Ovis aries: one gene and its partners. The protein of the gene in region 4 interacts with the protein of the main gene of each other region in a biochemical or structural test. Links are inferred from orthologs where the notes say so. Each region holds a gene or a part of one and is shown on either strand. Other genes may lie near its edges.

Region 1 (3,500 bases), about 230 Mb from region 4:
TATATTAATAGTTCTTCTAGTGTTATACTGTTTTGTCATGAAGTGAAGTGAAGTGAAGTGAAATGAAGTGAAGTCACTCAGTCGTGTCCGACTCTTTGCGACCCCATGGACTGTAGCCTACCAGGCTCCTGCGTCCATGGGATTCTCCAGGCAAGAGTGCTGGAGTGGGTTGCCATTTCCTTCTCCAGGAGATCTTCCCAACCCAGGGATCGAACCCGGGTCACCGGCATTGCAGGCAGATCTGAGCCACCAGGGAAGCCACTGTTTTGTCATATATTGTTATAATAAGACATTAATACTGACATATTAATATGTTGATTATATAGAGAGGTGACAAACTTTTTTCTGCAAAGGGCCAGATACTAAATACTGCAGACTTTCTGAGTCCTACAGTCTGGCCCTCCAGTCTCTGCCATGACCACTCTGAAGTGGTGACTTAAAAAGTAGTCATAGTTAATACTTAAAAGAACAAGCGAGAGTCCTTTCAATAAAACTTTATTTATGAACACTGAAATTTAAATTTCATATCATTTTCAAGTCAGGAAAAAGTCTTTTGATTTCCACCCCCCACCCCCAACCATTTAGAAAAGTAAAACACATCCTTAAGACTGTGGGCATACAAAAACTGGTAGCAGGTGAATCTGGCAGGTGGGTGTGCAACCTCAGAGTTACAGCAATATTTGTTTATATGAAATCAGTTATATCTGATATGTTTATATTAAGCAAGTATGACTACATATTACATTATATTACAACCTTATTACATTGCATGAGATCATATATTACCTTGGAGAAGGTAACGGCAGCCCACTCCGGTGTTCTTGCCTGAAGAATTCCATGGTCAGAGGAGCCTGGAGGGCTGCAGTCCATGGGGTTGCAAAGAGTCGGACACGACTGAGCGACTCACTCACTCACTCATATATGGCCATCTTCATCATACCTGCTCCCTGGACGGCAGCAGCTTTGTGGGAAATTCTCCTGGGCACTGCTCCCTGGATGGCAGCAGCTTTGTGGGAAATTCTCCTGGGCACTGCTCCCTGGATGGCAGCAGCTTTGTGGGAAATTCTCCTGGGCGCCGGTTGGGAGAGGGAAAGGGCGTGGCCTCCCTGAACCCTAATCTCACGATATTTCTCACCCACCACACAGCTGCGCCCGACCTGACGGCCTTCGGCGACCCGCGCCAGTTCCCTGCGCTGCCCTCCATCTCCGACCCCCGCATGCACTACCCTGGAGCTTTCACCTACTCCCCAACTCCCGTCACGTCGGGCATCGGCATCGGCATGTCGGCCATGAGCTCGGCCACGCGCTACCACACGTACCTGCCCCCGCCCTACCCCGGCTCGTCGCAGGCACAGGGCGGCCCGTTCCAGGCCAGCTCGCCATCCTACCACCTATACTACGGCGCGTCGGCCGGCTCCTACCAGTTCTCCATGGTGGGCGGCGAGCGCTCGCCACCACGCATCCTGCCGCCCTGCACCAACGCGTCCACCGGCTCGGCGCTGCTCAATCCCAGCCTCCCGAACCAGAGCGACGTAGTGGAGGCTGAGGGCAGCCACAGCAACTCCCCCACCAACATGGCGCCCGCCGCGCGCCTCGAGGAGGCCGTGTGGCGGCCCTACTGAGTGAGGCTGCGCACGCGCGCTCCGTGCGGCCGGACGTCGTCCCGGAGGCGCCCGTCGGTGCCCAGCGTCGCGTGGTGGAGAAGCCCGCGCCGGCCCCGCGGGGGATGCTCGCCACCTGCCAACTGCCTGTGGTCGCCATCTCTCGCTTCTGAAGTCCGCGCAGTTCGCCGCCGCTGTGGGCCCGTCTCAGATTTTTTTCTTCTAACCTGACGCAACTTGAGGGTGTCCGGTTCACCGCCCTGTGGGCACTTCGTTAAGGCAAACAGGAAGATTCCCGGAGGGAAACTGTGAATGCTTCTGATTTAGCAATGCTGTGAATAAAAGAAAGATTTTATAACTTTGACTTCACTTTTTAACCAAGTCGTTTATTCCAAAGAGTATGGAACTTGGGGTTTTTTTGGGGAGTGGGGGGGAAGGGCGGGGCGGGCAGAGATGCAACTCATTCTGTTTGGCATCTAATTCATATTTTTAATTTTCTTTTCCAGCACCTTATAAATTGCAAAATGTGTATTTGCATTTGGGGTGGTTTTTTTATTTTTATATATATATAAATTTGAGCTTTGCTTCTTTCTTGCTTTGACGAAAGAAATATGATTCCTTTTTCTGTAAGTTTTATTTAACTTTTCTTTTGGACTTTTGGTGTAGTTGTTTTTTTAAGAAACAGCTGCAGCTTTGGGTCATTTTCAACTACTGTATTCCCACAAGGAATCCCTAGATATTTATGTATCTTGATGTTTAGACACTTACTTAATGTGTTGATACTTTTTTATTATTTAAATGTGCTTATATTAAGAAAAATATCAAGTACTACATTTTTTGTTTTTGATAGTAGCCAGAGTTAATTGTATCACATTGAAGAAGGTTGGAAAAAAAAAAAAAGATGGGTAATGTGATCACTTGGTTATCTAAATATTGTTTACATTAAACTCCCTTTAATGTTAATTCAACGAGTCAGTAGCTAATGCAGCCATGTTTTTATTAGGCTTTTTAGATACTGAGGGTCACTCCAAAGATCTGAAGTATGGAATTTTCTGCTAAGCTCAACAAAGGGTCTCATACCTGACTCCCTCCCTTCAAATCTGGTTCCAGAGGGTTGGGGTAGATGCCAATGATTGCACCTCTGGAGAGGATTTATTTTCTGCCTAGGGGGTTTGCTCACTCCATGGCCTCTTAATAATGTTAGACATGCTTTGTAACAGAATGATTGCAAAGTAAGCTGTGTGGAGGAATGGTATCCACATGGACACCGAATGAATGAATTTAGGGGTTCCTTAATTGCTCCATTCTGGGGTAGGAAGCAGATCATCTGAACCCAGAGTTCAGATGTTTGTTTAGCTCCAAGGAGATATTCCTCTTGATACTATACCTGTTGGTTGATGCAGAAGAAAGCTTGTGGCTGTCCCCCAAGGCTGGGAGTGGAAGGGACCGGATGCCTTTGACAGCCGAGGTGTCCAGGTCAGTTTTCATAGGGTGGGCCCAGAAGCAGGCCCGAACAAGCCCAATTCCCTCCACCTGCCTCAGTGAAGTCGTGTGGGGAGGGTGTCATCCCACCCGTGCAGGACCCATCCCATGCTGCTCCTTCCCCACCCAGCTTTGTATTGCTCTCACCAACCGAGACCCTACCCTGTAGGGTGTGTGCACTTTTGCTGGTGCATCAGCGTGACAGGAAAAGATTCATGTCACTGCCCATGGCTACAATTCAAACATATCCAATGTCACTGTAAATTTTATGGCACTATTTTTATTGGAGGATTTGGTCACAAGGCAGTTGTTGTACAACTCATAAATACTAACTGCTGATTTTAACATATGTGTGCTCAAAATGATCTGGTGGTTATTTAATGTACCTCTTAAATTAGTTGAAATGATTTCAGGTCA
Region 2 (3,500 bases), on a different chromosome or scaffold from region 4:
ACATTTCTAAAGCTACAAGCATGAGAGGCTATTGCAAGCACTGTCTGGGCAAATGAAGACTGTCCTCAGAATATGAAAAGCCTGATTCAAACATAAAAAGAGCTCTACAGGTCTAACTGCTCAGGCTATTTGGCAGTTTAAATATATCCCATTATCTCACTTTCCAAAAAGCTTTGAGGGTAGCTTGCAATAAAAGACATATATATAAAACAAGTCATTAAAACAGGTGTAGGATGGGTGAGAGGCGTCACTAAAAGGTGGAAGTTCTTATGCTTAACCTTGCTGGCCGATGTAGTTACCAACATTAAGCACTATATTTGACTCAGTTTCCTGGAGACTGAAGGAACACAATAAAGTGAGTCTATAGAATTCTTATCTAAGAAAGGAAAGTATGTCAACTCTTTGCATGATAGTTTTTCTTGGTGCTAATTTCTACTAGGGAGCGCCTAAGATCACAATTCCAAGACAAAGTGACACACTGCACATTATTTATGACAATCAGTGGTTTTACAGCAAATACTTTAAAAAACAATGATCATGCTGTCACTTAAAATAGCAATTCTCCAAAAAAAAAAAAAAGTATAATACTAAATCTAACTCACTGGATTTTACAGGGTATAAGACAATTTTAGGTCAAGAGTAAGACAACAGAACAGCGTGTTTATTTAAGAACAAAAGAATAATACTGATAATAAATGTTTAAAGTGTTTTTAACTGGCTCAGATAAGAATATTAAGCTAAAATCCTTACTTCAAAGTTATCTTTTTTAGAAAAAAAGAATCCTCAAAACTGATTTGATACAGTTTCCTGATTCAGAGTGAACTGCTGTTTCAGAGTCTTTTGCTAGGAAAAATGTCTAGGTCCTACTTTATGAAGTATTTTTAATTATCTCATTTTAAAAGTTAAAGTCAATAAAATCATGTGTAGACTTATCCATCTTCCAAATGACTGAGATTCAGCAAATTTATACCTTTCTTAGGTATAAATATGTGTATGTATAACATTTTTTTAAAATTCATGAACTACATGCCTGAGCATTTTCTTCAACCTAATTCTAGTGATAATTTATGTAACTGGCTATATTCGCACATAACGCCATTTCTTTAAGGCTGGACACAAGGGCTTTGATGAAACACCATTTCCTCTGAAAGGTCACCTTAAATTAATTATCCATCAGCTCTACAGAACAGCCTTATTGTAGCTCTTAAAGTCTGCACTAAGTGCTACTGCTACTAACTTTAATGTCACAGGACAGGAAACGTGTGCAAATACCACTAATGTGAACCAAGATCACCACTAGAGACATGGCGGGTGCTGAGACGGGTCCACTGTATACTCCCTGTGCCCATGTTAGAGTGCTCATTTTCACATTACAGGCAAGAAAATGCTATGTATTCTAGACATGTATTCTTACAGGGGCCATGGTAACAAATTCTTTATCCAACGGTTGTACTGATGGTTATGTATTTGTATTTAAATAAACAGGGGCCCCACGTTTTTCCAAACATTTATGACAAAATTTGTAGTTACTTCCAAACTCTTGATAAACACTTCAAACAGCGATAATTTTCTTTATGCATTTCAATTTAAGTATTTACATAAGAAATCTGATAAACAAAAGCAAATAAATCTGAACAGAATTTCAAGTAAATAGTGTTTGCTGACCGTTTTCTTTGTAGCCCATGCCTAGGATGACCTCAGGTGCTCTGTAGTAGCGAGTCACTACGTAAGGTGTCATCATAAAACTAGTTCCTGCAGTCCTGGCCAGTCCAAAGTCAAGAATCTTCAAAGTGCAGTCTGATTTTACTACTATATTACTGGGCTTTAAGTCCTTCAAAAATAAAAATACAAAAAATGACTGCTATGATATAAACAAATACTTTGCAGTCCACACGTTATGAATGAGATCTCTCATAAAACAGTTCATGCTAATTGTTCATTTTCCTCAAACTGTAACTGTTACCACTGCACAGATTCATCATAAACAGACAGATTTGAGAAACTAGCTTGAGGGCATTTTTAATTTACAAATACATACAGTAGTTATTAGAAGTTAGTAATGTTTTATTTGCTAGAAAATATGATTAGCTAGATACTTTCAATCAAGGGGTGTAAAAGCGATTTGGAATGGCATCTCAAAGCTCATGTAAGAACTTTTATGGTTAAATAAAGAGAGAATCATAAGTTAGCATTTATATTCACTTGTATACTAAATTACTAGCTTTTAAAATTCTCATTTTAAAATCACAGTAAGCTTTATATAGATATTCTGTATCAGCAATAGGCCATTCTATGTCAACCCAATCACATGTCATTTGACTTTTCAAATAGGCAAATGTTCAACTCTGAAGGACCAAAGTAATCATTACCAGTTTTCCCATCACTGATTTCTCACCCAAAATCATACAGATTTGTTCATACAATTTTTGACTGCCCACAGAGGTAGGACAGCCTTGTCCTGGTGCCACTAATCCATAAAATCACCTGCTGCTGATGCTACTAAGTAACGTCTGTGAAGAGCTACCCATGTGAACCCAACCTCAAGGAATTCTATGTTACAATCATAAAAAGGCAGCGGCATAAATACTCAAGGCTTCCCGTTCAACCCATCTGGCCTTTTAGCTACCACGAATCCTATCATGAACGGAGAGACCGAAAAGAGCAGGCCTATAATTCACACATACTGAATATCAGTGATTAACAATACACAACACTGGCCTGAAAAACGATGGTTAACCACTCCTGCATGCCTACATCCAGCGCAGCATGTAACTGTCTTTAGCCTGTGCTGACAAGCAGTCACAGATGGCGTCAGAAGAGGTGCCACCTGTTTGTTGCTGCTGGTCAGCTGCTAAGTTGCGTCCGACTCTTGGCAACCCCATGGACTACGGCACGCCAGGCTCCTCTGTCCTCCACTATCTCCCAGAGTTGGCTCAAACTGATGTCCATTGAGTTGCTGATGCTGTCTATCTCATCCTCTGCCGCTCCCATCTCCTCTGCCTTCAATCTTCCCCAGCACCAGGTCTTTTCCAATGAGCTGGCTCTTCGCATCAGGTGGCCAAAGTATTGGAGTTACAGCTTCAGCAACAGTCCTTTCAATAAATATTCAGGGCTGATCTCCGTTATGACTGACTGGTCTAATCTCCCTGCAGTCCAAGGCTCAGCCTTCTTTATGGACCAACTGTCCCATCTGTACATGACTACAGGAAAAACCACAGCTTTGACTAGATGGACCTTTGTCACGAAAGCAGTGTCTCTGCTTTTTTAATATGCTGTCTAGGTTTGTCATGTCATCGACTGGTTTTATCAAATTAAAAATAAATATCAGCAGGCTTACTGGAACAGAGGATAAACATTTTTATCATTGCTATCCTATAAATATGTGGTCCTGATTTCCAAAATGCAATACCTCAGCAAAGAAACACTGCATGTTCAAAAATAAATATTATGAGCTTTGATGCTATTTCAATGTCTATCATGTTGGTTAATGATTTAATGGC
Region 3 (3,500 bases), on a different chromosome or scaffold from region 4:
CTGATACAATGCATCCTTTACGATGAGACTATATTCTCAGTCCTTCAGCTTTTCTGAGATGCCATTATTGCTGCTATCTTTCCTGTTTTATGTAGGTGGTAGCCCTCGGAGAGGTACCAGATGGGACTGTGGTTACTGTCATGGCGGGTAACGATGAAAATTATTCTGCTGAGCTCCGAAATGCCTCTGCTGTTATGAAAAACCAAGTAGCAAGGTTCAACGATCTGAGATTTGTCGGCCGGAGTGGAAGAGGTAGGTCTCTGATTTTTCATATGGATAATGGAATAAACACTTTAGGATCCTCTGATGAAATGTAGGCTAAGTCTGTATACAAATCAGCACCTTCTACTGAATAGAATTACTGAAAGTTTTCTTTAAATACGTCCAGATGAGGTTGAGTGTTTTAGTGAGTACTCAGGCCTTTTTCATTTGTTTTATGATATTGAAAATTCAAACAATGTTTTCAGAAGGACCAGTTCCTAATTTCACTGGGTGTGAGCATATGAGGTGGAAGGAAGAACAGTTGGAGGTTCAAGTTCTGAGTTATGAGGAGCCAAATAACTGAGTACATTCAGTGGCAAAGGGCAAAGAAAAGGGAGTGCATTGGATCAATTTCCTGGTAATATCAATTTTGCTCTAAGTTGTAGCAAGGACAGCTAGCATAATGCTCTTCACTTGTCACATATGTTACCTCTGTAGGATTTAATTTACTCCTATAGGAACTTATTTAAAAATCATAGGCTTTTATAGAAGGCTTTTCATTTGAATAAGTGAATAATGTATTACTTATGTTAGAATGACTATGTGGAATTGCCTAGACAGATGAATGATTGGGACTCTAAATATTTCCACATTATTTAAGAGTTTCCACCATCCATACCCCCCATTCAGATATTAGGAATCTTTAAAAAGATCATAAAAGAGAAAATAATCCCTTTTAGGGTTTTTGTAGCTGTTTCATAAATGCAGTTAATATATTTTTTTAAAAGTCTCAAAGAAAACCAGTATTTTGGCTTTTATTTACTTATTCTATGGCAAGACTTTTAATCATCATTCATTGGAAGTTTTATGTTCATTTACTGATTGATTGAATCTGACATTTCCATTTTAAGTATTTTGATGAGAAGAGGGAAAATAGACCACTTTAGGACTGGAGTGAAATGAATTATAAATAAATTATAAAGACCTGTGGAATGACTTTAACCCAGGTTTGTGTTAGGAAATGAGAAGCATCAATTTTTAAACCATGTCCAATAATTGCCCTTTAGTTTGGATCAGATGTCAAATTATTACCATTGTAAAAACTTGATAAGGGAAATTCATGCAAGACTGTTTCCGGTGAGTAGTTTTAGTTTACTTTCTAGGAACAGTGCCAAGAAGTTGTACTTTTTAACTTAAAAAAAAAAAATGATGCATGCTAATGAGATACTGTCACTGAAGATTTGAAATAAAATGAGAGCCTCTGGTAGAATCAAAACTCAAGGGGTTATCTTTGCATCAGGTTTAGTTCACTTTCATTAAAAGGAAAAAAAAGATACATCTTAGTCTCACTCTTGACTGATTAGGTGTAAAGTATGTATGTGTGTTTATTCATTTTTCCCCTCGGTTACTGTGCAGGCCTACTGTACAATTCAAATTTCTTTTTTTCTTGTAAGAAGAGAAATTTGAACATGATGTATCTTCTGAACCTATATCTATCTTCTGAAGGCATCTTTCTTCTAATGTAACATTACTTTGTTGAATTTTAGTGTTTAAAAGACCAGGCGCTATACATCATTTTACAGATACAAACTAGAGTTTTCATTTATCTTGCTTTTGTATGATATAGATGCTGCATAACTTTTCTCTGATCAGTTTGAGTAGAAACTATGGCAAAGTGATAGTGTACTTTGTAAACCCTCAACATATTTATTTAAGAAACTTCAAAGGGAAACAAAGGGTGTGCACTGTTTTACTATATTGGCTTTCTGAGTTTTGGCTGGTTTCCCAAATAGCAATTTTTATATTAAAAAAAAAAAAAAAGACAGACTTAACTGCTTGCAGACTTTTCACGCATGGAAGATGAAGAAAGCTTCTTTTGATGAAGTGTAATTATGTCCAAACAGAGCTGACCCCCTCCCCCTATATTTCTTATGATCTTAACTGAAGAAAGTAGGATTTTTCCTTTGAAGCAGCCGGGACTTGGTGGAGGATCTGAAATGCCACAGTCTGCTGCCAGAGGCAGGATGGAGAAATTGGTCCAGACTTGTCTTCGAGACTTAGATTGGGGGTGGGGGGAGCGAGTGGAGAGAGAAAGAAAAATTGATGTATCACTAATAATAGATTTTTAAATCAGGACATTAATATTATATGAAAGGACACAGTAATATCAAGCTGAAATGAAGAGGGGAAAAAGGACAGAGAATATTGATGAGATACTACCCTTTGAAAAGAAAAAATGGGTCAGTTCTTCAGTGGCAGGAAATCCTTTAACCTGCCTGTGTACCTGACCTGCTTCTAACAGTCCCTTTCCAGCTTCCTCTTTGATTTTCACACTTCTTTATTTCTCTCAAGTTTTAAAGTCTGGGTCAACAAGATGCTGCCATTGTATTCGCTGCCCAGCTATTTACATTTTCTATTTTCGGTAGCATTAAAAAATGAAAAACCAGCAAGTTCCTCAAATGCTACATTTTTTCATGGGTAGAAAGATACACTCTCAGGAATTAGAAAAACTGTTTTCGATTTATAAAGCAGTAACATGGCTACTTACTCTGGCATCATGGGTTATCCGAGGACCACAGCTTTTCGAAGTGCTTTGGAATACGAGTAGAGCATCCGTGAAACTTGCATTCAGTGCAGAGTGGCTTACGTTTTTAAATTGTCTTTTCACTTTTTCTCTGTTATATTTTAAGCCAAGTATGGAAAGTGACTTCGGTCTTTAAGTTTTCTTGGTGTGCTTCCTCACTTTTGATGTCAAGCGAGTTGCTTTTAATTTACAAGCACTTCTAAACACCGGTAGTGTGCAGAGCATGGTACTTTGTCAATTCTGGATACAATCTGTGCTTATAGTCTTAACTTTCCCCACTATTTCTGACAGCCCCTCGGGCTAGGTTAGAATTGTCTTTCAATGACAGGTCCTATGTGTATCTCAGAAAATATATGACTTGAGGACATAATGCAAAACTAGTCCCTAGATGAAGCTAAGGATGCTACAATGAGTTGTCTAACGATTGCTAGCTCCCTAAGTAAGAGCTGCATTTTTTATCACTTATGGAGAGTAGTAAACAATGGGATTTGGATTTTTTTTTTAATTTAAAGGAGGAAATCATGAATACTCATGTAAACATTTGACTTCAGAAATGTATCACTGTTTATAGGGACGAGAGCAAATGACCCAGTTGGGTGATAGTTTCTGGAACCATTAGGTTCACGTTCCTTCTGAAGGGGCAATAAGAAGTGGGAGGAACCGCCTTGTCTTTTGTTTTAGTTGTTAAAGTACATCTTGATTCTTAGGATTTGAT
Region 4 (3,982 bases):
CTGCTAGTAAGAAGCACCCACAGTGATTTTAATTGACACTCAACTCTTTCAACTCCACCTAGACAAGTAATCTATAGATAATGCAGAAAAGAGGTTGGGGGAGGGGTAACTTTTTCAATATTTTATTGTATTTTCTTAAATATCCTTTCTGGAATTTTCAGAAACAAAACATAAAAAAAATTATATACTTTATTACAAATGGTAAACTCAGAGTGCTCCAAATCTCTTATTTACAAACAAGGCTGGGCAGGACACCCAAACAAACAAACATGAATAACTTACAAAGGCATGAAGCTGTTTATTGACAGTAATCAGCTTTCATCAAATTAAAAAATATATATATGTACATACACAGTTATGGAAGGCAGGCCAGAAAGAGCTCATCTGCAGGCTGGGCCTCGCTCTCACAAACCTCCCTCCCGCCTCCCCTCCCCCACCCCCTTTGTGTTCTTAAGGAGTACTACAGAAGCGATCTACAGTCTCTATTGCAGTTTGCAACCCCCTCCCCCACCCCACCCCTTTAATACTGAATGAGATCGAATGTTAGGTCCATGCAGTTCTTGGTCAACGTTAAAGAAAAGTCTAACGTTCTGTTTGCGCGGGGACAGCCCGTCCGCAAACCCGGGCAGCCCGCGAGCGGCCGTTCCCTGGCTCCTCGCCAAGGGAGGGCGCGCCAAGTCCTTCCCACTCGTGCACACTGGGGGCGCCGTCAGGACGCAACCCAGTCCAACTTGGATACCCTTGGCTTTAGTCCTCGGACACTTTTGTTTTTTTCTCTGTTTCTCTCTCGCAACTTGTCAAGTTCTCAAATCTGTCTCTCTGTGTTATTTATATTTTTTCTCCGTTGCCCCTCAGCCCCCGACAGTCTCGCCTCAAAACGTTTGCAACTGCTGCGTTAGCATGAGTTGGCACCCGCTGTTAACGTGGTTCATGACTTTTTGTTTAAGCTGGGCCACCTGTTCCCTGAGCATATTGGCGGTGGACGCCAGCTCCGAGTTCTGCGCTTTCAAGGTTTTCACTTTTTCCTCCAGCCGCGCGATCCTCTCCAGCTTCCTTTTCCGGCACTTGGAAGCAGCGATGCGGTTCCTCATGCGCTTCCTCTCCGCCTTGATCCGCTCCTGGGACTCCATGTCGATGGGGGACAGGGGCGGCGTTTCCCCGGGCATCTCGGGCACCGTCTGCGGCTCTTCCTTCAGGGCCTGCAGCCGCGGGTGCTGCACGGGTATCTGCTGGGGCAGGTGGTGCGGCGGCTGCGGTGGTTGCTGCTGCTGCTGCTGGGGCTGCGCGGGAAAGGCCAGGCCAGCCGCGCCGTAGGAGGGCGCCCCGCCGCCGCTGCTCAGCGCGCCGGGGTTGAAGTTGCTGAGGTTGGCGTAGACCGGCGGCTCGCTGTGCAGGCTGGCGCTGAAGCCGCCGCTGCCGCTGCCGCCCGCCACCGAGGCCACCGCCGGGGCCACCAGGCCCGCCCCGCTGACCGGCTGCGCCGCCGACGTGACGCTGGGCAGCGTGTTCTGGCTGTGCAGTTCGGCCAGGGCGCGCACGAAGCCCTCGGCGAATCCCTCCTGCTCGTCCGTCACGTTCTTGGGGCACAGGAACTGGGTGGGGGTCGGCGTGGTGGTGATATGCCCGTTGCTGGACTGTATGATCAGGCGCTCCAGCTCGGGCGACGCCAGCTTGAGCAGCCCAACGTCGGGCGAGGTGAGGAGGTCGGAGTTCTTGGCCCGGAGGTGCGGCTTCAGGCTGCCCACCGGGTCGGCCAGATTCAGGGTCATGCTCTGCTTCAGAATCTTGGGGTTACTGTAGCCGTAGGCGCCGCTCTCAGACTGGAGGAACGAGGCGTTGAGGGCATCGTCGTAGAAGGTCGTTTCCATCTTTGCAGTCATAGAACAGTCCGTCACTTCGCGTGGGCTTAGTTTAAGCTGCGCGCAGAAGTTTCGGGGCCGCAACAGCGCGCTGGCAAGCGGGGGACACCCGCGCCTCCCCGGGCAGTGAGCAAGGAAAGTTTCTGGAAGAGCGCGCGCCCCCGCCGGCTGGCAGCCCCCGCCCCCGGCGCCCTCCTCACCAGCTCGGTCCGGGGGATCGCAGGGTTAAGACGCCGCCCGCGCTCTTACTTGTCCGCTCGCGCGCGCCGCCCGGCTTTGAAAAGTCGCGGTCACTCACGGAGCTCTCTCGAGCGCAGCGGTTCCTCAGAGCCCGCGGACGAACTCGCTTCCCGGTGATAGCAGGGAGCGCGGACCCCGCGTTTGCCTGCCGGCGGCGGGTGTCCGCCGCCCCGACTCGGAAGACTGTCCCCTCCTCCGCTGAGAGGGGGAGGGGGCGCCCGGCAGCCGCGGCTCGCGCTCGCCCAAGTTCAGCAACCGGTGCGAGCGAAGCGGAGCGCACGTCCTCCTCTCTCCGCCGCCTCTTTTTCTTCACCGCCGCCGCGGCAGCTTCGGGCGGAGGCAAGATTTGCAAAAGTTCGTTCCGGGACCCGGCGGCCACTTGTCTCCTGTCTTCCTGGCCGGGAAAGTTCTTGCCGCTGCAGCCGCTCTCCGGACTTCCCCGGGCGGACAGTGGCCGCTCTCCGCGCTGTCAGCAGCGCCCGCGCAGCGGGGCTCTCCGCCTGGGGGCGGCTGGCGAAGGGGCTCTCCCGGCGCTCCCCAAAACACCAGGCCGGGAGCCACAAGCGCTAGCTCCGGGCAGTTGGAGAGAAATTGGAAAATAGGATTTGCTGTCCTTCTCGACTGACTGTGCCTGTCTGCCTGCCTGCGTCCGCGCACCTCCACTCCCGCCTCGCAGCTTCAGCCACACTCAGTGCAACTCTGAGCCCTTATCCAGCCGGAGCGCAACACTTATCTGCTACCAGTCAACCCCTAAAAATAGCCCATGATGTCACCCCAAGGCCTTCCCATTGGCTCGCGTCGCTCTCAGGGGGGCGGGCCCACCCGTCGCCATGGAGACCCCACCCTAGAAGATTCTTCTCTGGGCCCGCGGAGGCTCACGGGATGAGGTAATGCTCCGTTGCCCTCCTACAGTTGGGCCCTTCTTTCTCCTCCTCCCCCCAACCCGCTCCGCGCGACTCGCGCCCCTCTCTTCCCCCTCCCTCCCCGACGCGTCTTTCCCGGCCCGCCCGGTGCATTGTGGGCTGACGTCTTGGGGTTTGACTGTCTAGTGACGGTGGCTGCCGCGAGCCGGGCGGACTCCGGCGCTCCCAGCCTCTGAGGGAAGTGGGCTGAAGTTTAGGGCTCGGATGGGAATGCCAGGGATGCTAGGACCCAGGAGGCCAGGGGAACCGAGCCAGGTGTCTGGGGCCGAGGGCGCGGGGCGGGTGGTATTTCCCCACTTGGGGGTTCGATGTCACCCGCGGGCACTTCGCCGCCGCTCGGGGCGGGCCGGGCCCGTTGAGCGCCTGGGTTCCTGGCCCCCCCGCACTTCCGGGGGGCGGGAGCACCGCCCTTAAGGTGGCTCTGTTAAGTCCCCTGTGGGGGCGAGTGAAAGTGGCTTTTAAATTTGGGGGCAGTTCGTGAGAGTCGGCCCCCCACGTTGAGAATGCCCTGAAGTTTGTCTCCTGGTCAAGTTCAGTAGCGACTGTCTGGCTCTGTCTGGAAGTCCAGTGATTTGCATTGCTTGAAACTGGGTGTTCGGCTAAGTCCCCTCCGCACTCCCACCTCACCCTCCCGACCGTGGGAGAAAGGGTGCGGGGGTTCGCATCTTTGCCTCGGAAAGGTTTCTTACAGGAGGTGGATTTAAGGGGCAACTCGGCGTCTAGTTTGAACGAGCGTTTGGAGAATCCGAAACTCGGGGAACCCCGGTGATAGTCTACTCTCCGCCCCCGCACAACATGCATAGACACACCGCACATCACATGTACACACAAACACACACACACGCACACGCCACTCCTCCCGCCCCGATTTGCTTCCGGGAAAACAAGTCCGAGAGCAGCAGACACTTGCCAAAAGTCACGCAGCGAGTGAGTAGAATAAAGATTTAAAATTTCTCCGCT
Region 5 (3,986 bases), on a different chromosome or scaffold from region 4:
GGGAGTAGGTTAAGTTGGACTTGTTTGGCTGGCTTTGAGGGGACAGCAGTCGACAGGGAAGATATCCCTCAAGCTCAAACGGACTAAATTGCATTTTACTTGAACAAGAAAAAAGATCATATCTGGCCTGTTTCAACTTAATTTTGCCAATGATTTTCTGCTCCTGGGTATTATTACCAAAATGTACTGATTAAAACGCCTTGTATTAAACATTAAACAATAAATTAGGGTTTCCTTTCACAATGAACGACTACGTAGGTGCAAGCCTTTACCATATCACGCAATACTTACTCTTATCCATACAACCAGAATCTTGACATTAAAAAAAGCATTTCCTGACATTTGTTCTCAAGGTTCAGGGCCAGAATGAGTCCCTGAGCACCTGTCTCCAGGCAGCTGGCAGTCACTGTGGTTCCATTCAATCTCTTCCACAGAGGAAAGGAAGGGAAGGGAAAACCTTGGTCACCTTGTTTGGAAGCTATTATTTTTACTATCCTCATATGGTAGAAGAAAAGTAAAAGGAAAAAACAGCCACAGAGTTCATGTGGACATGAAAAGGGTAAACTGAACCTTCTTCTCCAATTAGTGTTTTCTGAGTTATTTTTTAGGGCTCTCATAATATCAGACTCCACCAGCGGCACAGGTGGTAAAGAATCTGTCTGCATGCAAGAGATGCAAGAGATGTGGGTTTGATTCCTGGGTTGGGATGATCCCCTGGAGAAGGAAATGGCAACCCACTCCAGTATTTCTCATCTGGAAAATTCCACAGACAGAAGAACCTGGTGGGCTGCAGTCCACAGGGTCACAAAGAGCTGACACGACTGAGCACATAGCCAAATGCCTCCTAAAACCAGTTGTTTTTTTAAACTGAATCTAGTTGGTTCTTATTTACACAAAATACAGTATACTACTTGAACATAACTAATGTTTAAGGCAGTTACTTAACATAATGAGAAAGTTCTTTTATTTAAAGATTATTTAAAGTATATACACATAAATATGCGAGAAAAGTTTAAGATCAAACACTAATGAAATTACTAAACAAATGGTAGATTATCAATGTAAATTTGTGAACTGTATAACTTCTGTAATCATGTCAGAAAATTCACAATATTAAAAGAGCCATAGTGTATAATATAACTTGTAGTTTACCTCATACAGTTCAGAAAAAAAAAAGTGTGTTTGCAGAATATACACACAATTCCTATAAAACATGCCACCACTCCCACAGGGCATTGTAGAGTACTTACTTTTGTCAGTTAATGTGTATACACATTATAGCTATGACCAAGATATAAAAATATATATGAGTATTTATACCTGACTCTTTGCGACCCCATGGACTGTAGCCTGCCAAGTTCCTCTGTATATGGAATTCTCTAGGCAAGAACACTGGAGTCGGTTGCTGTGCCCTCCTCCAGAGGATCTTCCTGACCCAGGGATTGAGCCCGCATCTGTTGCGTCTCCTGCATTGGCAGGTGGCTTCTTTTCCACTAGCACCACCTGGGAAGCCCTCATATAGTATTAACTTTTCCATACAACCCTAAAATTAATAACTAACAAATATTAACACTAAACACTACAGATTAAAACATAGACACAAGAAGAATCAAGCAGATTATCACAGAGCCAATTCAGTTATTTGCCAAATGATATACGAGGTGAACTTTATTCATTGGTCTTTATGGGAAATTGGATTAAAAGAGCAGGAAACATGGTGTCTGTGACTTGCTCCCCCTGGAAATCCTGACCACCAACTTAATCTCACAAACATTTGCCAGGCTTTCTCTGTGCTTCCGGTGTCACTGTATAACAAGTCATTCCAACAACGGCAACAGAATTCATGTAACAAAACAACACTCCTACTGGTTTTAGTTTTGTAATGGCTCTGTGGGTAAAGAATCTGCCTGCGGGAGACATAGGAGATGTAGGCTCGCTCCCTGGATGGGGAAGATCCCCGGGAGAAGAAAATGGCAAACTCCAATATTCTATATTCTCCAATATTCTTGCCTGGGAAATCCCATGGACAGAGGAGTCTGGCAGGCTACAGTCCATGGGGTTGCAAAGAGCTGGACACGACTTAGCAAATAAACAACAACTTTAATATAAGCATAAATATAAACACATATCAAGATAAGTAATAATAAATCATTTAATTATACCCATGACATTTCTGTTTTCAAAAGGAAACCTAGATGAGTGGAATTTATTCAGTACCACAGTTCATCATTTTATTTCTAGTCTCAAGAACACTGCCTGGCACAAAACAGACACATAATAAAATTTTGTTAAATGATTTAATAAATGTATAAAATAATACAATGTATGTAATATTCTTGGTAAAATAATTAAAATATAGAACTCAATATGCTAGTCCTTAACAAGAAACATCTACATGTTTATTAACAATACTACTGTGGCTGTATGCCCTATATTAAACAGATGTTTGTTCCCTTATGAATGAAGTCTGAATATGAGCTCTTCTTCAAACAATGAGAATAGTTTCAAAATTGACAGAGGCATATGTATGTCTGTATCACATATATCACATGCACAAACACATAAACACAAGCACAACTCCTCCAAGCTTTAAAAGTATTAAGCTTATACTTTAAAAATATTGATGTTGGAAAGTACAAGCAAAGCCTTGAATTGTAAGGGAGTGATACCTTTCAGAGAAGGTGACGGCACCCCACACCAGTACTCTTGCCTGGAAAATGCATGGACGGAGGAGCCTGGTGGGCTGCAGTCCATGGGGTCGAGAAGAGTTGGACACGGCTGAGCGACTTCACTTTCACTTTTCACTTTCATGCATTGGAGAAGGAAATGGCAACCCACTCCAGTGTTCTTTTTTTTTTTTTTTTTTTTTCACTCCAGTGTTCTTGCCTGGAGAATCCCAGGCACGGGGGAGCCTGGTGGGCTGCTGTCCCTGGGGTTGCACAGAGTCGGACACAACTGAAGCAACTTAGTAGCAGCAGCAGCAGTGATACCCTTCACTTCCTTTTAACTTTTACTTTACGCTTGGTATTTATAAGAGCAAGAAATAGTAATACTAACTAATATTTATAAAGCACTTAAAGTGATTCATATATTTAATGCAATCCTGTAAAGTAGATGCTATAAGTCTCCTGATTTTACAAATGAAAAAATCAGGGCAAATTACTCAGGATCACACAGCCAGAATGCAGCAGAATCAGCCTAGAGCCCAAGTTCATAACTGCTAGGCTATCTGCGTTTAAGCGGCAAATGAGATTCAGGAGATACGATGGTAATAGACAAAGGATGATAGCTCTATGCAAAATCTGCAACGAAACCTCAAAGCTAAATGTATTGCTTACAGAGCGCTATTCTGCCTATGCACAGAAGAGACCACTGACATTGCGGACTTTCAGGAAGCACAGTTTAGAGATGGGCAGATTTCCAGAAGCAGAAGTGAGTTGACATTAAGTGCGGAAGCAAGACTACTTGAGTCACACTGTTGCTCAGTTTGATTGTCCAAGCAAATTCATTGTAGTGAGTCTGGCTGACTTTCAGAAGTTAGACGCTCTTACTCTGCTTGGTTGGCCCACAGAAGTATGTTCACTCAGGTCAATTGTTGTTGATTCTGTCACCAGCTCCAACGGTTACTTGTTACTATGGCTAAAAAATAACTAGTCTTTTACTAGTAGTGTGGAAACTATCATTCTTAAACCTCCCTTTCAGTCCTCCCTGAGCCAAAGTTGCACAAGAAACCAACAAGAATTGTCCAGATCTTCGTCACAGTTTTGATGCATCTTTAAAGACAACTTCCCTTGGTAGAGATGTGGTGTCAGTTTGAGAGGAAATCAGCATGATTTCTTTTCGTTTTTTCTTGGAATTATCTAAGAAGACAGTGGCTGCATAGAAAGCATTTAAGGCACTAAAAGATATGGAATAAAAGTAAAACAAACAAAAATTGAAAGTACAATATTATAAGAAGAAACTAGAAGGCATTCTGAAAATATAAG
Region 6 (4,018 bases), on a different chromosome or scaffold from region 4:
GGATAGAGGAGACTGGCAGGCTACAGTCCATGGGGTTGCAAAGATTCAGACACGATTGAGCAACTAACATACTGTAAAATGAAAAAACAAACAAACAAACAAAAAACCATTAAGTAATCCAAGATGGTGACAGTCAGCACATCACTGTGGCAGGGCCTTTCAAAGGTCGAGGCCCCACCGTCACCCACCCTGTGCAATGTGCGACGCATGCCCTGGTGGGAGAAGAGCAGAATTCATCCCCAAGCACCCTTCCCACCTCCCCACCCAGCCAAAACTACAACACAGGCAACAACAGGGAACAACTATCAAAACTAAAGCCGATGGTGCCCAACCTAGATGGCAGCGGCGCTGGGAGCATCACTGCTTTATATAAAGCTGATTTTACAGTGAAGGAACGGATTCTGAGGACTGGGGGGTAGAAGCTTCAGACACCAAGAATAAGGGTAAGGGACAGAGACTGCATCAGCCCTTCCTCTTTTTAAAAAATGTAGACAATGAAGGCCTTCTCTTTCAAAAGAGAACTTAGTCTGAGTTTAGCAACTTAGTCTGGTGCCTTGGGAGCTGCGGTGAAATGCGTGGGCTTTGGTATCAGGGTGTGTCAGTGTCAAAAGAAGTAAAGACAGGTTAGATATATTTCCGTGGATTGGGTTCCCACCCTCTTTGGCAACGAACCCAAGGGTTCCTGGAAGGACCTGGGATGTAAGTGGGTTTCCAAGGACCCTCTGTTTTCATTTTTCCTCCGAAAGTAAGACCCACGGAGAAACGCAGGGCTTGGCATTCTTGAGTTTAGCACAGGCCACCTCACGGGTAGAAGTGCGTCGTCCTCGGACACTTGGATGATGTGGCAAGGACTGTGGGGGCCGTGAAGCTCCTGGTCCCAGGCAGCGGGTTGTAGGAAGGGCGCCCAGTCCCGTCCGTCCGCAGTCGGGCAGCCGGGACAGCGAAGAGAGCGGGGTCCGGGAGGGAGGGAGGGAAGGGTCGAACCATGCTCGCGGAGGCGGCCCCACGCCCTGCCGCTTATCCTGCCCGGGCCAGGGGAGGCTCAGGCCCAGGGAGCCTCGGGCGCAGGGGACGGCCACCGGGCACACTGCGGCCAGCGCGGCCGCGGCTCTTGCGGCTCCGGCGCCCGCCGGGTGGTGGCTCCGCAGTGCCCGCCCCTCGCTCCCCTACCCCGCCCCTCGCGCCCCCTTCCCCGCCCCCGCCCGGCGCCCCGGCCTCGCAGACCCGCCGCCCCGTCCCTCCGCGCGCGCCGCAGCTGCTGCTCCTCCGCGCGGCGGCGCCTCCCCCGCGCGCCGCCCGCGCTGCCGGCGGCGCAGCCCTCCCGCCTCGGCCATTTTCTCTCCACCCCCTCCCCTCCCGATCCTCATCCCCTCGCCCTTCCCCCCGCGCGGGGACTTTTCCGGAAAGTTTTTATTTTCCGCTTCGACTCTTGAAGAAAGAAGCTCCCGGCTCGGCGGCAGCAAAACTTTTCAGCCGCCGGGCCCCGCGGCCCTCGGTGCGCCCGGCCGAGCGATGAGCGCCCCTCCGGTCCTGCGGCCGCCCAGCCCGCTGCTGCCCGTGGCGGCGGCAGCAGCCGCGGCGGCGGCCGCGCTGGTCCCGGGGTCCGGGCCGGGGCCCGCGCCGTTCCTGAATCCCGTCGCGGCCCCGGCCGGGGGCATCTCCTTCCATCTGCAGATCGGCTTGAGCCGCGAGCCGGTGCTGCTGCTGCAGGACTCGTCCGGGGACTACAGCCTGGCGCACGTCCGCGAGATGGCTTGCTCTATCGTCGACCAGAAGGTAAGGCGCCGCGCGACTCTGAGCCCGGCGCCTCCCGGCCGCGCTGGGGGCACTGCCCTCCGGCCGCCCCTCGCTGCGCCAACTTTCCGGCTCCGGGGGCTCGGCCGGCAGCCAGCCTAGCCGGCGCTCTGGAAGGGTCCGACACCGGCCGAGGTTGGACGCCCGCATCCGAGGCTCTGCACTTCGTGTTGTTCTGTTCCCCCCTTGCCCCAACCTCTTCCTATTCCCGATTTCTCTCCAGTCCGCATCCTTCTCCCCCAGTTCCATCCCTTTCAGGACATTTCCAGGTATCTTCTATTTTCTGGTCGCACCTCTCTCCCTCTCAGTAAAGACTTCTCGGCTCTCCCCTCTCTTCGCTCTGGACCCTGGACCAGCACATTCCTGGCGCCGAAATCCTCCTTCCTGCACTAGAGTTTCCCTGGGGACACGCTCAGCACGATTTCAGCACCACTCCCTTCCCCTTCAGGCCCCTCTCCCAGCTCAGATTGATGCTGAGGAGTTCCTGGAATGATCTAGAGAGGAGGAATTTCTCACCTGTCAAATAAGCTTTTAAGAGAGAATGATTGACTCGGCCAGCTGTGAAAACAAATGACCAGACCACAGCTCCCCACCTCTTGTGTTCTATTCCCAACTCTGTGAACATGGGCGCAATTTTTTCAATGATAAATCTGAAAGTTGCAGCCTTCTGGATTTTGATTTCCAGGGCACTGATAGTGGAGCTTTGAAGCCAGGACACAGGCATGTGAATGGGAGGGGTCCTGTCCAGGAGCACCCCAGGCTGGCTGTGCCCCTAAGTTTGAGGCTGTGGGACTTTGGACAGCGGCCACCAAAGGCAGGGTGGAAAAGGGGCCATTATCCTGGACCATGCCGCCCAGGGAGGAGACGTGGCCCGCCTGTCGCTGTTTATAGTGCGATTTTGAATTTCAGGTTGTTTCTGTGGCGGTCCAGAGGGGAGTTGCATGGAAGGGGGTGATAAGAGTGTAAAGGAAAGGGGGCCGTGGCGCCAGTCTTCTTAGTGTAAACAGCAAGGATTTCTGGGTGGAGACAGAGGTCTCTAAAGGTGCTGAATTTCAACCCTGAAGGACTGACTGGTACTTGCTCTATAAAGATCCCTTGACTAATCATGAAAGCTTTCTTTAAACTGTTTGGAACAGAATTTGCTAAACCTGTGTGGTGAATTGTAGCACTGAGCACAGAAATATTAGGAAAAATCCCTAGGGAGAAATCACTAGTCTAAAAGTTGTAAAAGTTCTGGAGGCCAGACTAAGTTAACAGTGAGTGTCAGGATTTTTGTTTATTGAACGGAGTGACATTTTATAATACGTGTGACTCTTAGTTTTTTGCATCTTCCACGTAAATGGCAGATACTGTCTAATTCTGTTTTAAGTCATATCATATGCCCTCTCCTCATCAATACTGTTGGAGAAGGCAATGGCAGCCCTTCCAGTACTCTTGCCTGGAGAATCCCAGGGACTGCGGAGCCTGGTGGGCTGCCCTCTGTGGGGTCGTACAGAGTCGGACACGACTGAAGCAACTTGGCAGCAGCAGCATCAATACTGTGAAGTGTCTGTTGCAGGTTAACAGGAGCGTTCTCCTGGGCACTGAAAGCCTTCCCTTAATGGAAGTTGCAGTCTACAACAATTTCCATTGGAGTGCAAGCCAGTTAATTAAAGGACAATACTGAATAAGCACATAAAGAACCTAAGATAAAGTTTCTTAAAGAGCTAATGTGATTGTATAGAATTTTAGCTGAAAGTAAGTGAGTTACAGATAATATTCATTGGGTCAAATTAATATGGACAGACTATCTTTGAACAGTTTTAAAGGGCGTGCCTGTGCACACACGCACGCACACACACACACACATATAGCCACACCTTGATGGAATTTAGAATGAGGAGAAATATGCATGTTTCAAGAGGTTTGAGACTAGAAATTGAATGAAGAGTGAATTCTTATCTCTGTAACTACCAAGAGGAATGCCTTGTGGAGGGGATGATATGTGTTCAGGAGAGCAGCAGAAAGCACCTGTGGAATACAGAGGACCTGAGGATAGTGACTAGAATATTTAGAGAAAGTAAAATTATGAAAAGGCTTGTCAATTAAGATGAACTCAAATTACTAGGAATCTCTGTATCTTCTACATAGAGAAATCAAGGACAGCTGAAAGATGGATTTGCTTTGTGGAATATGTTTTAGAAGGCCAAAAATGTTATGGCAGAAGGAAAACTGAAGCTCATGA
Region 7 (3,500 bases), on a different chromosome or scaffold from region 4:
ACTGAAGGGGTCACTAGAGCCATAAGAAGTTCTAGTCCTAAACTAGCTAGTAAATTAACTTCCGTGGGACCTGTTAAACACTCTCTGCTTAAGCATGCTTGCTTGCTTGCCTCATTACCATTCAGTAGCATGGTTCAGCCTGCCTGGACTAAGTGAGCTGGGTTAAGTTACTGGACCTTGCTGAGCCTCAGTTTTCCCGCCTGTGAAACAGGGCTCAGGGACCTCACAGAGGGGCTGTGAGGTTCTCAGATGAGACAAGGCAGCTTGTGGTACAGTGCCTGGTGCACAGCAGTTAACAAAGAAAACAAAGAATATTATTACTGCTGTTATTTCCTGCATTTTGATCCAGAGTATTATTTAATAATTTTTGTCCTCTGAAAGAATTCTGAGAAGTTGTTTGCCACCCAGTGACTGCTGGAAACAAATACACTTAAAGGAAAGAAAACTCCTTCTCCAACATTAGTAGTAATGAAGACCAGGCCCAGGGCACCAGGCTTAATGAAATCACATAAAGTTCAATTCCAAGGCCCAAGAAGCCCAATCTCACTCTACTGAAGTCTTTAGTTTTCCCTCTGCCTCCATGAACCCAGAGCCTAAGAAACTTACTCTTCTTCTTCGACTGTCCCGGGGCTGGAGATGACTGGGTCGCTGAAGTACTTGGCTGGTCTTCTTCCTCTTTCGTCTCAGTTTTTAATTCAGTGCCTCGCTCTTCGCTTTCTGTAGGTTCTACTTTACAGTCTTCTGCTTTAGGCTAGAAGGCATGGTAGGAATTTTTGGTATTCCAAAGACATGTAACTGAGTAGCAGTACCATCAATGTCTTATTTACTCTCCCCTGTGGATGGAGCTCAAGACCCTTTCTCATATGGAAATCAGTAAAATGAGACCTAAGTATCAGAGTCCTTTCCTGTAACATGTTCCTAACCCCAAAAGGCAGCGACTGCCCTCCTCTCACCTCTGGCATACCCTCCGGCTGAGTGTCTGCTGGTTCTGGCGCCTCCACTTCCATTTTCGGCTCCGGTCTTACTTCCTGTGACGGATGCTTCTCAGGGGCGGCCTGAGAACTCACTTCTGTGCTACTAGTGGATGGAGGGTTTGACACCTGCCCTTCGATGCTGACAGCTGGCTGGGAAAGCTGGGTAGAAAAGGGCGGGGCAGAGAAGAAAAAAAAAAGTCCGTCTATTATAAAACCAGAATTTAGGCTATATGACAAGATGGCAGAATAACCACCTATTTCTAAGCTAGTGTCATTACACCCATTTATGGTGTTTTGGGGCTAGTAAAACACTCGCCTGCAATGCAGGAGATGCAGGAAACATATTCGATCCCTGGGTCGGGAAGATGCCCTTGAGGAGGAGCGCAGAGCAACCCACTCCAGTATTCTCGCCTGGAGAATCCCCGTGGACAGGGGGGCCTGGTGGGCTACTGTCCATAGGGTCGCAGAAGAGTCAGACACGGCTGCAGTGATCTAGCACGCATGTGCACGCATGGTGCTTTCACTTACTCTGCCTAGTTGGCCCCCCGAAGTAAATTTTGCTTAAGACAAGGAGACTGAGGACTAACAAATATTGGCCGGCTTGTTGTAGACACAAGAGCCAGCAACTGTTTCTCCAGTAACATTCTGGGACAGCACCTGGGAGGGAGGCTTCAGAAAGGGCTGCCTCAGAGGAGCTCATGTTTACAAAAAAATGGAAAGAAAATAAGAAGGACTGACGGACAATCTTTTAGTTTTAACTTCTCCTTAGGAAAAGTTTCACATATACAAGTTGGGAGAATATAATAAATTCCCACAATGAGCAGCTGTTTTGAGTCATCACATTCTAATGGATAACTAACAACCTCCATTCTTCCTAAGTCTTCCAATAACATACTTCTTAACGGGAAGTCAGTATTTTCAGAATCTATCCTATGTAGGATACAGATGCCTTTTTGCATCCTACCTTTTCTTACGTATCAGAGGCTAAGATGAACCAGTCACACATGAACAATGTATTAAGAAGGAGCAATGACTCCCAGCACTTCTCAGTTTGCCAACAGGACAGAGAACTATCAGTGATCATGCAGGAAGTTTCAACAGCGGCACGCAGAGTTCTGTTAATAAGGATGTAACTGGTGGACATCTGGATCTCTGCTACCCAGGTAACAAATCTTTTGCAAGGAGTGTTTCAGGCCTTATGAAACACCTTCTCATGAATTTTCTAACTTTGGCTAGGACCATAGACATTCATAAATCAATGATTTTGTTCATTTGCTCGAGAACAGCAGTTCAGGCTGTTTGAAAAGATTCTTTAAGTATCTGTAAAATTCACATGTAGTATTAAACGTCTGGTCGCTCTTCTCCCCTTACATGCTTTCAAGCCTCTGAATACAACGTGACCGCAGTCAACGTAAGATCTAAAGAAAATCTTTGAGGTCCTTCTATGTGAGGTGTGACAGCAAAAGTCCGTAAACATAAGAGGTTCCAGTCTGAGGCGGCGACAGTGAGAGAAGAATGGCAGAGAACAGGCATGGCACAGGGACGTTCCCCCGAGGTCCAGTGATAGGGACTCAGCGCTCTCACTGCCATGGGGCCAGGGTGGACGCCTGCTCAGGGAACTAAGGTCCTGCAAGCTCACCACCCCCAGCCACCTCCCACGAAAGGAAAAAAGAAACCGCACTGAAGTAGTATAAAACTACAGTACGGCTGACATGGTTCTGCCGAAAGCCCAGACTCTGCTTACTGGAGTTGCCGGCTGCGGAGGCAGCAGGGGTGCGGTCGGGGTGGGCACAGAGGCTGCTGTGCTTTGCTGGGACAGAGGCTGCTGCTGCTGCGCCTGGTCGACTGAGGGAGCAGCAGGAAGCGAAGGCTGCACTTGGGGAGGAAGCTGTGTTGGCGGCGGCGTAGGCGTCTGTCTTGGAGGCGGATGGAGAACCTGGGACTGTGGGCCAGGTGGCATGGCTGGAGGCGTAGGAACAGGGGCTGGGATTGCTGTTGCTGGTGGCTGCTGAGCCCCTATGCTAGGGGGAGTGTGGTGAGGGGTGGGGGTGCGACTAGGTACGGGGGAGGGTGAGTTCTGATGCAGAGCTGGTTGAGGGAGAGGGGGACAGTGAATGTGGCTCCCTTGAGACCCGGGAGGCATTATAGGAGAGTTCACAGGACAGGAAGAACTGGACATCTGTGCCTGTTAAAAGGAAAAACATAACAAGATGCAATTCAGAACAGAATCAAAGAAGTATTTACATAGGCAGGTTATATACATTTAACAGAAATCAACAATGAATGCTTCCATTTCAAAATGTGTCAAAAACCCTATTACTGGGGGCCTGTCTTTGGGAAATCCAACCAGTACAGTACTCAGTTAAGTGGATCTCTCAGGGGCTGTGGGGGCACGGGACAGGTGAACCTGTTTGTTTTCTAGCCGTCCAATGCTCTCTTCAGCCAAAGTTCTCTCTTCTGCTTCATAGCGCTCAGTAAGATACCATTTTTAAAGATTTCACTGTTTTAAAAACTGGCTAAAATGGT

What was found.
Region 1: the proteins of JUN (region 4) and RUNX1 form a complex in vitro, tested with the Homo sapiens proteins (2 studies listed by BioGRID). The link is inferred for Ovis aries from reciprocal best matches to the Homo sapiens genes JUN and RUNX1.
Region 2: of the proteins of JUN (region 4) and MAPK8, one has a biochemical effect on the other in vitro, tested with the Homo sapiens proteins (76 studies listed by BioGRID and IntAct, with this or other methods). The link is inferred for Ovis aries from reciprocal best matches to the Homo sapiens genes JUN and MAPK8.
Region 3: the proteins of JUN (region 4) and RUNX2 form a complex in vitro, tested with the Homo sapiens proteins (2 studies listed by BioGRID). The link is inferred for Ovis aries from reciprocal best matches to the Homo sapiens genes JUN and RUNX2.
Region 5: of the proteins of JUN (region 4) and MAPK10, one has a biochemical effect on the other in vitro, tested with the Homo sapiens proteins (7 studies listed by BioGRID and IntAct, with this or other methods). The link is inferred for Ovis aries from reciprocal best matches to the Homo sapiens genes JUN and MAPK10.
Region 6: of the proteins of JUN (region 4) and PRKD1, one has a biochemical effect on the other in vitro, tested with the Homo sapiens proteins (2 studies listed by BioGRID). The link is inferred for Ovis aries from reciprocal best matches to the Homo sapiens genes JUN and PRKD1.
Region 7: the proteins of JUN (region 4) and EP300 form a complex in vitro, tested with the Homo sapiens proteins (5 studies listed by BioGRID, with this or other methods). The link is inferred for Ovis aries from reciprocal best matches to the Homo sapiens genes JUN and EP300.

Annotation. Positions count from the first base shown.
Region 1 is NC_056054.1:267,608,461-267,611,960, reverse strand, and holds part of RUNX1 (runt-related transcription factor 1), read left to right. Parts: intron 1-1,146; coding exon 1,147-1,622; 3' UTR 1,623-3,500.
Region 2 is NC_056078.1:41,775,433-41,778,932, reverse strand, and holds part of MAPK8 (mitogen-activated protein kinase 8), read right to left. Parts: intron 1,832-3,500; coding exon 1,666-1,831; intron 1-1,665. UniProt on the Homo sapiens protein: Serine/threonine-protein kinase involved in various processes such as cell proliferation, differentiation, migration, transformation and programmed cell death.
Region 3 is NC_056073.1:18,667,638-18,671,137, forward strand, and holds part of RUNX2 (runt-related transcription factor 2), read left to right. Parts: intron 1-95; coding exon 96-252; intron 253-3,500. UniProt on the Homo sapiens protein: Transcription factor involved in osteoblastic differentiation and skeletal morphogenesis. Essential for the maturation of osteoblasts and both intramembranous and endochondral ossification.
Region 4 is NC_056054.1:33,493,864-33,497,845, forward strand, and holds JUN (transcription factor Jun), read right to left. Parts: upstream 2,801-3,982; 5' UTR 1,881-2,800; coding exon 873-1,880; 3' UTR 107-872; downstream 1-106. UniProt on the Homo sapiens protein: Transcription factor that recognizes and binds to the AP-1 consensus motif 5'-TGA[GC]TCA-3'.
Region 5 is NC_056059.1:101,973,964-101,977,949, forward strand, and holds the start of MAPK10 (mitogen-activated protein kinase 10), read right to left. Parts: upstream 2,801-3,986; 5' UTR 2,670-2,800; intron 1-2,669. UniProt on the Homo sapiens protein: Serine/threonine-protein kinase involved in various processes such as neuronal proliferation, differentiation, migration and programmed cell death.
Region 6 is NC_056071.1:38,245,489-38,249,506, reverse strand, and holds the start of PRKD1 (serine/threonine-protein kinase D1), read left to right. Parts: upstream 1-1,218; 5' UTR 1,219-1,512; coding exon 1,513-1,776; intron 1,777-4,018.
Region 7 is NC_056056.1:218,148,369-218,151,868, reverse strand, and holds part of EP300 (histone acetyltransferase p300), read right to left. Parts: intron 3,160-3,500; coding exon 2,719-3,159; intron 1,134-2,718; coding exon 954-1,133; intron 752-953; coding exon 607-751; intron 1-606. UniProt on the Homo sapiens protein: Functions as a histone acetyltransferase and regulates transcription via chromatin remodeling. Acetylates all four core histones in nucleosomes. Histone acetylation gives an epigenetic tag for transcriptional activation.